3 linked regions of the Drosophila melanogaster genome follow. The protein of the gene in region 3 interacts with the protein of the main gene of each other region in a pairwise test. Each region holds a gene or a part of one and is shown on either strand. Other genes may lie near its edges. The genes, in order: Drep2, Clc and CG14718.

The links.
Region 1: the proteins of CG14718 (region 3) and Drep2 interact in a two-hybrid assay, tested with the Drosophila melanogaster proteins (one large-scale study listed by BioGRID).
Region 2: the proteins of CG14718 (region 3) and Clc interact in a two-hybrid assay, tested with the Drosophila melanogaster proteins (one large-scale study listed by BioGRID).

What each region holds. Positions count from the first base shown.
Region 1 is NT_033778.4:9,292,668-9,296,421, forward strand, and holds the start of Drep2 (DNA fragmentation factor-related protein 2), read left to right. Parts: upstream 1-2,127; 5' UTR 2,128-2,902; coding exon 2,903-3,115; intron 3,116-3,754.
Region 2 is NT_037436.4:20,238,968-20,242,721, reverse strand, and holds the start of Clc (clathrin light chain), read right to left. Parts: upstream 1,670-3,754; 5' UTR 1,616-1,669; intron 1,604-1,615; exon of another isoform or gene 1,182-1,603; intron 1,160-1,181; exon of another isoform or gene 1,038-1,159; intron 878-1,037; exon of another isoform or gene 819-877; intron 217-818; exon of another isoform or gene 1-216. Other genes in the region: CG17233 (uncharacterized protein), read left to right, coding at 2,227-2,859, 3,109-3,754. UniProt on the Drosophila melanogaster protein: Clathrin is the major protein of the polyhedral coat of coated pits and vesicles.
Region 3 is NT_033777.3:11,699,026-11,702,779, forward strand, and holds CG14718 (uncharacterized protein), read left to right. Parts: upstream 1-1,588; 5' UTR 1,589-1,720; coding exon 1,721-3,061; 3' UTR 3,062-3,695; downstream 3,696-3,754.

The sequences.
Region 1 (3,754 bases), on a different chromosome or scaffold from region 3:
GCTTGCCGCCTACACACACACATACTTAAGTAGACGCACGAGAGTTCTCGTATCGCGAAAAGCGTGTGCTTTGTTGTTGCCTCTCCCACTCCCTCGCTCTAAGAGGCGCTCCCGTGTTGTTTTTGTTGTTATTGCCGCTGAGCAAATGGCAGACCCTCTAAGCGGGTGCCGCTGGTGATAACATGTCGTAATGGCCAGAGAGGTAAGTGCAAACGTGCTAAAAGCAAAGCAAAGCCGGCAACTACGGCTTAACCGTTTTAGTTTTCCCGATCACCACGGTACCGCAAGTTACTTTGCCAAAATCAGCTGTTCTCACTTCATCACCATCCCCCATCATTCACATCTGCAACCAACGGTGTTAGCCTCTCCCAACATTAAAACAGTTAACCCTATGTCATATTTTTCCAAAGAAGTTTAACCCAACACTACAACTTAATAATAAAAATGCTGCGTGTAACAAATAATTATTCTCTGTAGGAATGAATTTTTTAATTAAGCAGTAGAAACAAAATAATCAAAAATAATACTAGGTAATAGATTTTTTTTAATAACATGCAATTTGAACAAAGTAAAATTTATAATATATTTTAATATTTCTTTGACTTGGTCTTTGTAGATATTTTGTTCTTTACGTGGTCAGCTGAACGAAAGATAGGTTCTTTATAGAGCAACACAACAGGATGCATGAATAAATCAACTTCTAGAGAAGATTAGGCAAATTTTTATTTTGCTGCTTGAGTATGGGTGCAATGGATACGATTCATGCCTGGCCTAAACTACAGGCACTCTGCTCCATCTATGTGAATTTTTCATATGACAACCTTTGGCGAGTGTATCTAGCAAGGCGTATCGCTGCGGATGCTCCGCACTCGCGTCCGCATCCGCTAGAGAAACCTATTAAGCCTGTGGCCCGCATTAGTCTCTTTGTGTGCGTGTCCCTCAAGCTCCTGCTCTGCATATGTGTGTGTGTTTGTGCATGTTTTATGCAGTTCCTTCGTTTCGTTTTGCTTTGCGGGTGAGTGAATAGCTTTGACCCAAATAACTGAGGTAATACTTACGCCTCACAGATGTGCCACTCCCCCAACGCCCTCCTTTCCCGCCGCCTCCATCCCACGTGTGGCTGCAACTGTTGTTCTTCTTCCTCTTCTCGCGCCCCCTTTGAAAGGAATTTCGCTCTCTGGCCTTTCCAAAATTGTTGCTTTGAGAGGATGTCTCCAAAAATAAATTAGTTGCGAATTCCCAAAGCGCTGGAATTCCTTTAAGAGCTGATAAAAATGCAGCCGAGATGGCTTTCAGTTGGCAGTTGATCTGGCATTATTTAGGATAAACAAAACAACTTTATCTCTCCTTCTTCTTACTGCAATTAAAAATCTCGGCCAGCAGCAATTACAGGAGTTTTAGTGCTCTGTTATCCATTCACATTTACAGCTGGCAATGCTTTTGCGAGAGGTAGAGAGCTTCATATAAAAGTGCATCACTCTCTCTCTGTCTCACCCTTTTTATTAAAAGACTTCAATGTTTAATGCTAGAGTTTAAATGTCGAGCAAGATCAGGTCTAAAAGAAAGCTAAATATTTTCCTGGGGCACACAATCCAATAGCAACACTATTAATTGAACGCCGTTGATTGGAAGTAAATGTTTACAAAATCAAACTGATGGGATCTTATGAAATGCTGGTAAAGCGTTTCGAGGGAGAAGGTGCGCGCGCTTTGGCGTCCTGATTATATCACATTGATGCAAATGTAGGCCAAAGCACGACGAAATATCTTTACCTGTTAAAACATCGAAAATTATGGAAAAAAAGGTAGTAAATGGGAAATAGTGGGGTGGATAAAACAAATACGGTTTAATTGGGGACCTAAAAACTGAAGGCATTAAATTGACTAGATAGTAGTAACGGGATTTCTACCCCCACTCCTCCACCTGTCCTACTCGCTCTCGCAAAGCTTTGTGCTGCATTTCACCTCGTTCTCACTGCACTTCTCTCGCGCTTATGCCTCGTGCTCATTTCAAGCGCTGTTAACGCGCTGCAAAAACGCACCCAGCCCCAAAAGTCAAAGAAGAAGCAGCAGCAGAAGCAGCAGCTGCTACCGTAGTGAAATCCGATGCAGCATCTCGTCGGGAAAACTCACAGTTTGCTCTGCCAGGCTGCCAGGCACACAGGCAGCTAAGGACGCTGCTTTGGCCCGTGGAAACACCACGTTCCCACTGGGTGCTATAACTAAACAAATCAAGCGTTTTTCTACAAAATCAAGTTTCTAAAAACGAGCTATAATTAAGTCTAATAACTGGGACTCAGCATCAAATGAAAATGAAAACTCGGCGGTTTCACGGGCAAAAGGGCGCTGCAGGCGCGTAGTATCCGTAAAGTGAAAGTGCGAAGGTCAACCCGCCCTGACCTGCCCCAAAAATACGAATGCGAATGCGAATGCGAAGTACGAGCAGTGAAAAGCGAAATTCTAGGCACTTCAACTCTGCCAGTATTTACAACAAACTAAAGTAACCAAATAACGTGGACGATAACATTTATACCAGAAGCTGTATTTTGTGCAAAGTGCGTTTTTTTTTTCGTGACCCCCTTAACAATTTTTGTAATTACGAATTTTCCCCCTGAACGCAAGGCATTTATGACTCCAACAATAAGCAATAAGCTTTAATTTTTGTAGAACTTTTGGTAAAAGCATCCGCAACTCCGGATTTTGTAAGGCGTACATCGGTTACGGGTTTATATAACGGATTTTTAAAACGGACATGGATTACCAGAGCTTGGAGCTCCAAGTGTAAGACGACCTTGGAAGCGACGAGGCCAACCATTGCAAGCAAGCCAGCAGAGCCAGCGCAGAGACTCGGCCTAAAAGTGGCTGGCAGCAGCAGCACCACCAACAGCACCACCAGCACCACCATGTGGTCCAACGCCCTGTGCACGCTGGGCGTGACGAAGCCGCTCTGCAACTGTCTGAGCATCAGACAAGTGGCAGCCGCAGCTGCGGCGGCGGCCCAGGCCACGCAGGGCGTAGCTGCCTCTGCCGCGGCGGCGGGTGGGGCCGGAGTGGGTGGTGGGGCCATCACAACGGGGCCCTCGTCGTCGGTCACAAACGGCGGACTGTCCGCAATGGTAATAGTTTCGCTTTGCGACCCATACTTATTCAGTGTTTAGCTTTCATCGACTGCAAATGTCCTTCATTTCTAGATCAAACTCAATCTATTCCGTCCTTTATCCAGTTTGGTTTCCAATTCCACCTCCAATTCTAAATACCTCCTCAAATGCATTTCACACTGGTTAATCGAATAGCTTGTTGGGCAATACTGCTCAATAACTAGTTTAATGGTTTTTGGAAATTCATTTGAAATTATTCAACCTGTTGGTGGTTGGTTTGCCTCTTTTCTTGCATGAAATGAAATATCTTACTATTTTACTTAGGGAAGATAAAGCATCACCTTTAGCGTATGTTATACATTTTCTTTAGGTACTATTACCCACTTGTTTTCTAAAGTTTCCCCTTTTTTTAAAGCTAAGTCACACAATCTTAAAGTGCTACGATATTCAACCAGTTCTCCAACAATTGTTTTACGGCATAATATGATTTATCGAGCCTTAGAACTGGCAGTGCTCGCTGTTTATAGTATTATCAGTTTCATAATTTATAATAGCCAGCACATCCCCGACCCGCTGCACTCCCTCGGTGCCATATGGTGCTGGGGTGCAGCAACTGACCTATCCCAAGAGGAAAATCGGTGCGATGGTTTGGATGGA
Region 2 (3,754 bases), on a different chromosome or scaffold from region 3:
CAGCCAGCTGCTGGCGGATTCCCCCCGATTCATTGACAATTGGGCACTACGCACCTCTCCTTTGATTCGGTTAGGACTAATTGAAGATCGGTGTGGGCGGATGACTAACCGGAAACTTGGTCAAATGTATTTTTTCAGTTTTCTTTTAGCAATGAATACGTAAAATGACTGTCATTAGTACGTGAACCAACCATAAAACAGCGGGCTATCGAACTGGTTCCAGCCGAACAGTGCTGGATAATGCAACATATATCGCAACGCGATGGTTTTAAATTTAATGTTATGATTTTTATATTAAAAAATAAATATTTTTTTACACCAGTTATTATGCCAAATCTTTTAAATGTATACAAATTAGTAATATTTAAGGAACAGAAACCATTGTTAACTATTTTACTTGTCAAAGCCGAATTCAACATTCCTTAACATCACGGATAACGAGTTAAAGATTTAGCTACATTTTGTATTATTAAGCTACAAGTTTATGATAATGTATGTTGAAAAAACCAAAGTAAGAACATTTAATTTTTCCTTAACTAAACTTTTAAATTATATCAGCAGCGTCAATTTTCCACTGGGTTTCTGGTCAATTAGTGTTGCAAAATGTGTAATGGTGGTGGCTTGATTCGTTCATATATAATTTAGAACCGTACATATAGTTAATAAAACCTAGATTTAATATAATATTTAAGTTTGGAATTATTTTATTTTTTTTTTTGTTTTCAGATTTTGTAAAGTTCTCATGGTTTTTGAAATCAACTAGTTCCAATTGATCAGTGTTAGGAAACGCGCGAGTTCAGTAAACACAACCTTCAGAGGAGTTACGATTAATTTGTTTATATCTTATCAAATGTGCCTTAATAAATGCTCGTAAAATGTAAATACACAACAAAGTTAACTAGTAATGACTGTAGACCCGATAAAAAGCGTATTATACAACACTTGTTGCTATTGCATAGCACATGGGAATATAATTGCTGGTCAAATTTCACGGTGAATTGTTCACACAACATGACTTAATTATGTTTTTGACTAACCTATGCCACGAAGAACACAAGACGCAGTATACTTTTTGAGGAAATTAACAAAGACGAAATGCGAGGACGACGGCAAAACAAACAATAAACACTCGGCGCGCGAACTAGTGAACCGATGAACAAGTTCACCGTGGCATCATTCACCTGAGCCAGTGGTTCGTTTTTCACTGGCAGCAGAGCGGCCATTTTGGAGATTGTTTCATCCACAAAAAAGTTATGCACCGAATCTAAAAAAAAGAACGTTCGCTGTTAGTTAAACATAAAATCCGCTCGTGCATATTGAAGCGTTGTTGTGCTGGCCGATCCGATGTGAAGATAATGCTGGGCCCGAGCAGACCGACAGTTCCGATTCTATAACGACTAAAAGTTAGTGACTATCTTCCAACACGCACGCATGTACGCCCGTGTGTGTGAGTATGTGTGTGTGTGTGTGTGATTGTGTGCATGGATACATATATGTACAAGCGGAAAATACGGGAAAAAATCCTATTCCCAGGCAGAAAAACATTGCCAAAAACAGCATAAATCCCAGCCAATGTGATGGCCCCGTCATTGTAATGTCATAAGTGAGCACCCACATTAACCCATTGACGCTGAAACTTCAAAAATGCGGTCTCCTTGCCGCCGAGCGCCAAGGCAAAAAATACAGACGCCAATTTTTTTGAAGGGGGAACCAAGCGCATCGTGGCCAAAAGGGATACAAAAAAAATGAAGATACGAAAAAAATAGGGGGATCCCTTCAGTGCAGAAAAGTTGGGGAACAAACACCCCAAAACTGGAGTGTTTCATTCTAAAGTGTACTTCTACTATGTGTTTATTGATTTACAATAAAAGATAAACAAAATATGTTTGACCACATATAAATATCAATAATTTTATAGTAATTATTATTGATCCATAAATAACATTAATTGAATTCGCGCCTTTTTCCCCTCTATATTATGAATGCCATGGCAAGCAACTTGTGATAACAATATAAATATGTTATAATCTAAGCTACCGCTAAATTGATAAATATGGGCGGGATTTTTAGACTTAACACATGACCATTGGAAATGTATCCGAGCAATAATAAACTCCAATTAGTTAATCCTTTACATATAAGCCGCTAATTATATTCAAAAACCACTAAAGTTTTGCTATTTGTTTCAGTTACCAGCCATCAGCAGTAGAAGAGCCCAAGCCAAACATGGATCCCAATTCCAGTCCCTGGTCATACGCCTACAACCGCATCGTGCCCGCCAGTGCCGGAAGCTCCGGCGGAACAGCAGAGGACTTCCAGCATCCACACCTGGCCACCATTACGGCAGCAAGCATCGCCAGCTTTAATGCGGCGGCCGCCAGTGGTGGCAGCTTTGTGCCTCCGTCACCGATTGGCAGCTACAACCCAGTATTCCAGCAGATCTACCACCATGCGGCGGCGGCCAGTGTCCAGCCTAAGCCCGCCCACTATGCCTCGTCAGCGGTGAGCACGCCGCACCGCCAGCTGCAGCTGCCCAGTTCGCTGGACAAGCAGCTCAGTTCGTTCCAGAACCAGGCGGCCGTGTCGGCGGCAGCGGCTGCTGTAGTCAACAATGTTGCCTCGAACTATTACGGGGAGAACTCCTCGTCGAGTGGAGCCTCACCATCGCCCACAACGGTGGCCCTGACGTCGACGTCGCTGACCTGGAACACGCCGAACATGATATCGAACACCTTCCTGGCCATGCAACAGCAGCAGGCACAGCAGCAACAGCAGCAGGCACAACAGCAGCAACAACAGGCCCAACAGCAACAGCAGCAGGCGCAACAGCAACAGCTAAACCTGGTGGCCGACAAAGTGGTGAGTAGAATTCGTTTGTTTTACGTTCGGCTTTCAGATCACTCTTCTATTATGGTTTACGCCAGCTTCTGGGGAAGCACACACACTTATTAAAACCCCGCAGGCTCTATCGCATTTATCGCATACTAACATAACATCCCTTCCAATAAACCCATCAAAGCATAGACTAAGTCTAGCCTCTCTATGTCGAATCAATCCCAAACCAAACACTTTCCGATTCCGATTCAATCTATGTACGGTGCGCTGTAGCAGATTAAGCAGGAAAAGCAATTAAAAGCCTACAACGACTCGATTTACCTGATCCAACTGCAACAGCAGCAGCAGCAACAACAGACAGCGGCGCAGCAGCAACAGCAGCAGCTCCACCAGCAACTGCAACAGGAGATCGCCGAGGCAGACACAGAACCGGACACCTATTACACCATTGATGGCCGGAAGGTCAAGGTGACGCGGAAGGATGGCCAGCCGTATCGGGCAACGATAGTAGACCAACAGGATGCCAGTCCGGTGCCGCTGGCAGTGCCAGTTCCGGCGGGATCCTATCCGGTGCAATATGCCAGTCCGGCGCTAAGCTCCGCAGATGGATCGCCCATCACGAATTTACATGCGGTGGACGTGGTCAGCACACCGCAGGCCCAGGTGATCGTCTACAAGACGGCATCCCCTGTGCAAAGGCGGCAAGAAGCGGGCGCTGGATCGTCTGCTGCTGCCACACCCACCACGGTGGCCTACTCATCTGTGATACAAAGCACCCTGCAGCAACAGCAGCAGCAGCAGAACCTCTGCTGGACGAAGCTGGAGGACAATGGAGCGGGGCAGGAGGACATTAAGAACGTGCTGCAGCTGCAGGTGAAACAGGAACATCGGCAGCTCGATTTTGCCAGTGAGGCATCCT
Region 3 (3,754 bases):
CTGTTCCTACTTCGCCTTTGCTGCAAATGGAAGGAAAGACAACATGAATGCTGCACACAGTGCGTGTGCACCGAGAGATGCTGATGAAGAGTCATCCCTTTTGGCCACACCATAGAATAACCGAACGCAGCGTAGTCATACATATACCAGCTTATATTCCGGGCCAATTGCTTTGCTGCGCTTTTGTCTTTTCAATTACGGACGAGCTTCAAAGTCAAACTTTTGTGCAATTATACTGGAAGACAATTTGCCCTGTCTCGATTTTTATGAGCGCACAAAAAGTTTTCCACCAACGGAATAGGAACTTTTCCCCGGCAACAGTTTCCATTTCGCTGTTGTTTTCCCTTCAAGACAGTTGATTTTTAATTTCGTGTCGGCGGTTCCCAGCTTCATTACTTCATTTCAACGGGGGAAATATTTGACGGGTTAAAGCAAAACTTTGCCGCTCTGAAGTAAAGCTGCTGCTGTTGAAGATGCTGACCCTCCTCCTTTCTTGGAAATGGACACCACAGCAGCGGGGGCTGCTAATGAAACAGGAGCTTCCGTACAGGACACCGGATCCGAGAACCCGGAATCTGATGATAAGGTCAGCGGACTTGGTCGTAAAGAGGCGGCGGCCATAAAAGCCAATTGCTGGTGAAAATGTTGTTTCCTTTTTTTTTCCCCCGAACCGAGCTGGCGACAAACGTGGCACTTTCGTTTATCAGGGTGGCCGGCCTTGAGTTCGGGTTCGGGATATTAATAAACATGTCTTCAGAGTCCACGCTCCGTTGGCAGGACATTATTCTTGACTGCCCTCCAATTCGGGATCCTTTGTGGGGTTAATGTGGTCGCTCATTAGTGGGGTAATTGGCAGCTAATTGGCTTGATGAGTACCAGTCATCTTGATTCATCGTGATTGGCCCGGCCATGGATGAGTCTTGTCTTCGAAAAATATGAACTTAAGTTTCAGATTCCTATGGGAGTTCTACTCGAAGCTTTTAAATTGATATCAGGTACTTTTCTGCGCCATCTCACGCTGCGAAAATGTAATCAAAGTTTGCTGATTAAAGTGAAAATGTGCAGAAATTATGAATCAATTTTCCGAAGACGACGACAAGCGAAGTGCAAAGTCATCAGTGAGCTGCGAAAGTGGCATCCAGAGTTTTAGCCGCCAATCACGGAAATTTGCATAGTTCTTCGCGCTTTTAACTATGGACTACGGATGGAAAAACCAGGTCAAATCCCTTGAAAGGTGTGGACGTAAAAGTGCCAGCCATTTCGATGTCCATATTGCATTTTTACTTTGGCTATTAATACATTTTCACTCAGTAAATTCCACATTATTGAATTAAATTAATCCTGCCGCTGTCGATTTTATTTTAAATATATTCATTGGCAACAAACGGTTGATATGTTGGTTTTTGTGTGCAGCAATGATATTATTAATACTTCGGATTATATTGTTTTGATGTGGATAAACACATCACCAACATTTTTTCGAGTCAAAAGTAATGAAATTAAATTGGCTTGCCATTTGATTGAATTGGAAAAATATGGCTGCCAAGTAGGCTACAACACAATCTATCAAAGAAACTTAGATCCGGAACTCAGTTCATTTTTATACTCCTAGTGTCTGGATGTTATCAAAGATTTCAGTAGTTTTTAAAGGAATCGGTTCGTGTTTGATCAGCAGTAAAGGCCACACAACGAGGAGTTTTACGTATATTTTTTACCAACCATGGATAGCACGTCAGCCAGCGTAGTGTATACGAATTCTTTTTACGCTCCAAATTACTCGGACACCCAGCAGCCACAGCCACAGCTGCAGACTCAGCAACAGATGTTCCATGCCAACTACATCGTCGGAACCACATTGGGTTCTGGATTGGGATTTAATTTTGCACCAGCCCCCATTCCCCAGGCGAGTGCCGCTTCCGGTTTGAGTCCCAGAGGCATGTACAGTGATCTCTACCGCTACGAGGATGGAAGCGGCGATGCCAGCGGTTCCTTGCTTCTGGTCCAAGAGGATGACCACTTCTGTGGTGCAGAGGCGGACCAGCAGTTGGTGGCCAGCACGTCGTCCTCATGCCCGATGGCGAGTTCAGGCGAGTCCGTGAGCATTGACACAGAGCAGGAGGCGGAACGGGATCTTCAGATGAACCAATGTGAGACGCTGGAGCGGGAAGAGCTGAATGGAGATATAGGGGAAATGGGGGAAATGGAGGAGCTTGCAGAGGAGGTTAATGGCGAGCAGAGGCCGCCGCTGTTACCCTGCATGGGTGGCAACACATCCTACATGGTGTTCCCGCGCACCGCCGCCGACTACATGCCCCGCCTGGCGCTCCCGCGGCATAGGCCCTATATAAGCATCGGTCAGGAGCAGTACGTGATCCAGGCGGAAACTGTCTTCGTGCTGGGCATGCGCCTCAATGTGACCAAGAACGACATCATCCTGTTCTTCGGCAAAGTGGGCGTTATCAAGATGGACGAGTCGACCAACAAGCCGAAGATCTTCGTCTACAAGAACAAGATAACGGGGCGCTCCAAGGGTGAGGCCACTATAACCTATGTGAGTCCATTCTCTGCACAGGCGGCGATTAGTTGTCTGAGTGGGGCCAAGTTCATGGGACAGGTGATCACCGTTCTGCCCGCCTACCTATCCACCCGGAGGGGCAGTGTCCGGTACAGTTATCCGCGAGAGCTTAATGCGCCGGAGCACCAACGTCGCCAGCGGGCAATGAAATGGAAGCCAGCCATCGACAATTGGGTGTGCATGCTCTGCCGGAACAGCAACTTCGTCTGGCGTTCCAGCTGCAACAGATGCCAGGCGGACAAGGTGGTCGCTCCTCAGAATAACGAGGGAAGTTCCTGGGCGGGATCACGCGAAGAGGACGGTGCCCCTCGTCGTTGGCGGCCATACAGGAACGACTGGCTGTGCAAGATTTGCTATAATATGAATTTCTGGTACCGAGCGAAGTGCAATCGTTGCCACGCCCTGCGTTCCGATGAAATGAAGAGCTCCGAGTCGACGGAGGAAGATACCTGGGAGCTGGTTCTGAATCCGCCCATTGCAGAGTAGAAACAGTCCAGTCCACCTCGTTCTGTCTGTGTCTGTGTCTGTATCTATACGTGTTATCTGTTTTGTGTATCCGCATCTTTTTGTACGAAGGACACTTCTGCCTTCTGCATCCTGCTCCTTCCGGACTTCTAAAAATTTCAAGTGATTGGAACGCGAACTGCGTCGTGATATCCAGATGCAACTTCAATTGAATTGAATCGATTCGATGCGATGCCCATGAGCTTGTGAGCCCCATCCAAGAACAGCAAGAGCCAAGAACAAAAGACACCTAAATTCCTGTTAATGCCCGTCTTAGAAAAAGGCGTTTGAATGCAATGCCGCCACCATATACCCGCCGAACCAGTCTTTGTCCCCAGAGCAGAGATCCTCAGATTGCGGGACAATGCAACTTGCTGAATGGTAATCCACTTAATCCGGGTAACTGAATATTTTACCCAGGCACAAAAGGCAACCGGACCCACCTGGCCAGCTCTAAACGTTTAATGAATTTATTTACTTTCCCGACGCGTGCAGTCAGTGGCTCAGTGGCTCATTGGCTCTGCGGAACTGCACTGTAAATCGAAATATTATATTCAATGAAGTCTAAATTGTTTAATAAAATTAATCTTCTATTCATTTATTTATAGAAAGGGTGAACTCGTGGCTTTAAACTATCACAATGAAATTTCAAAATTTCTGAATCCCCCACAGCAA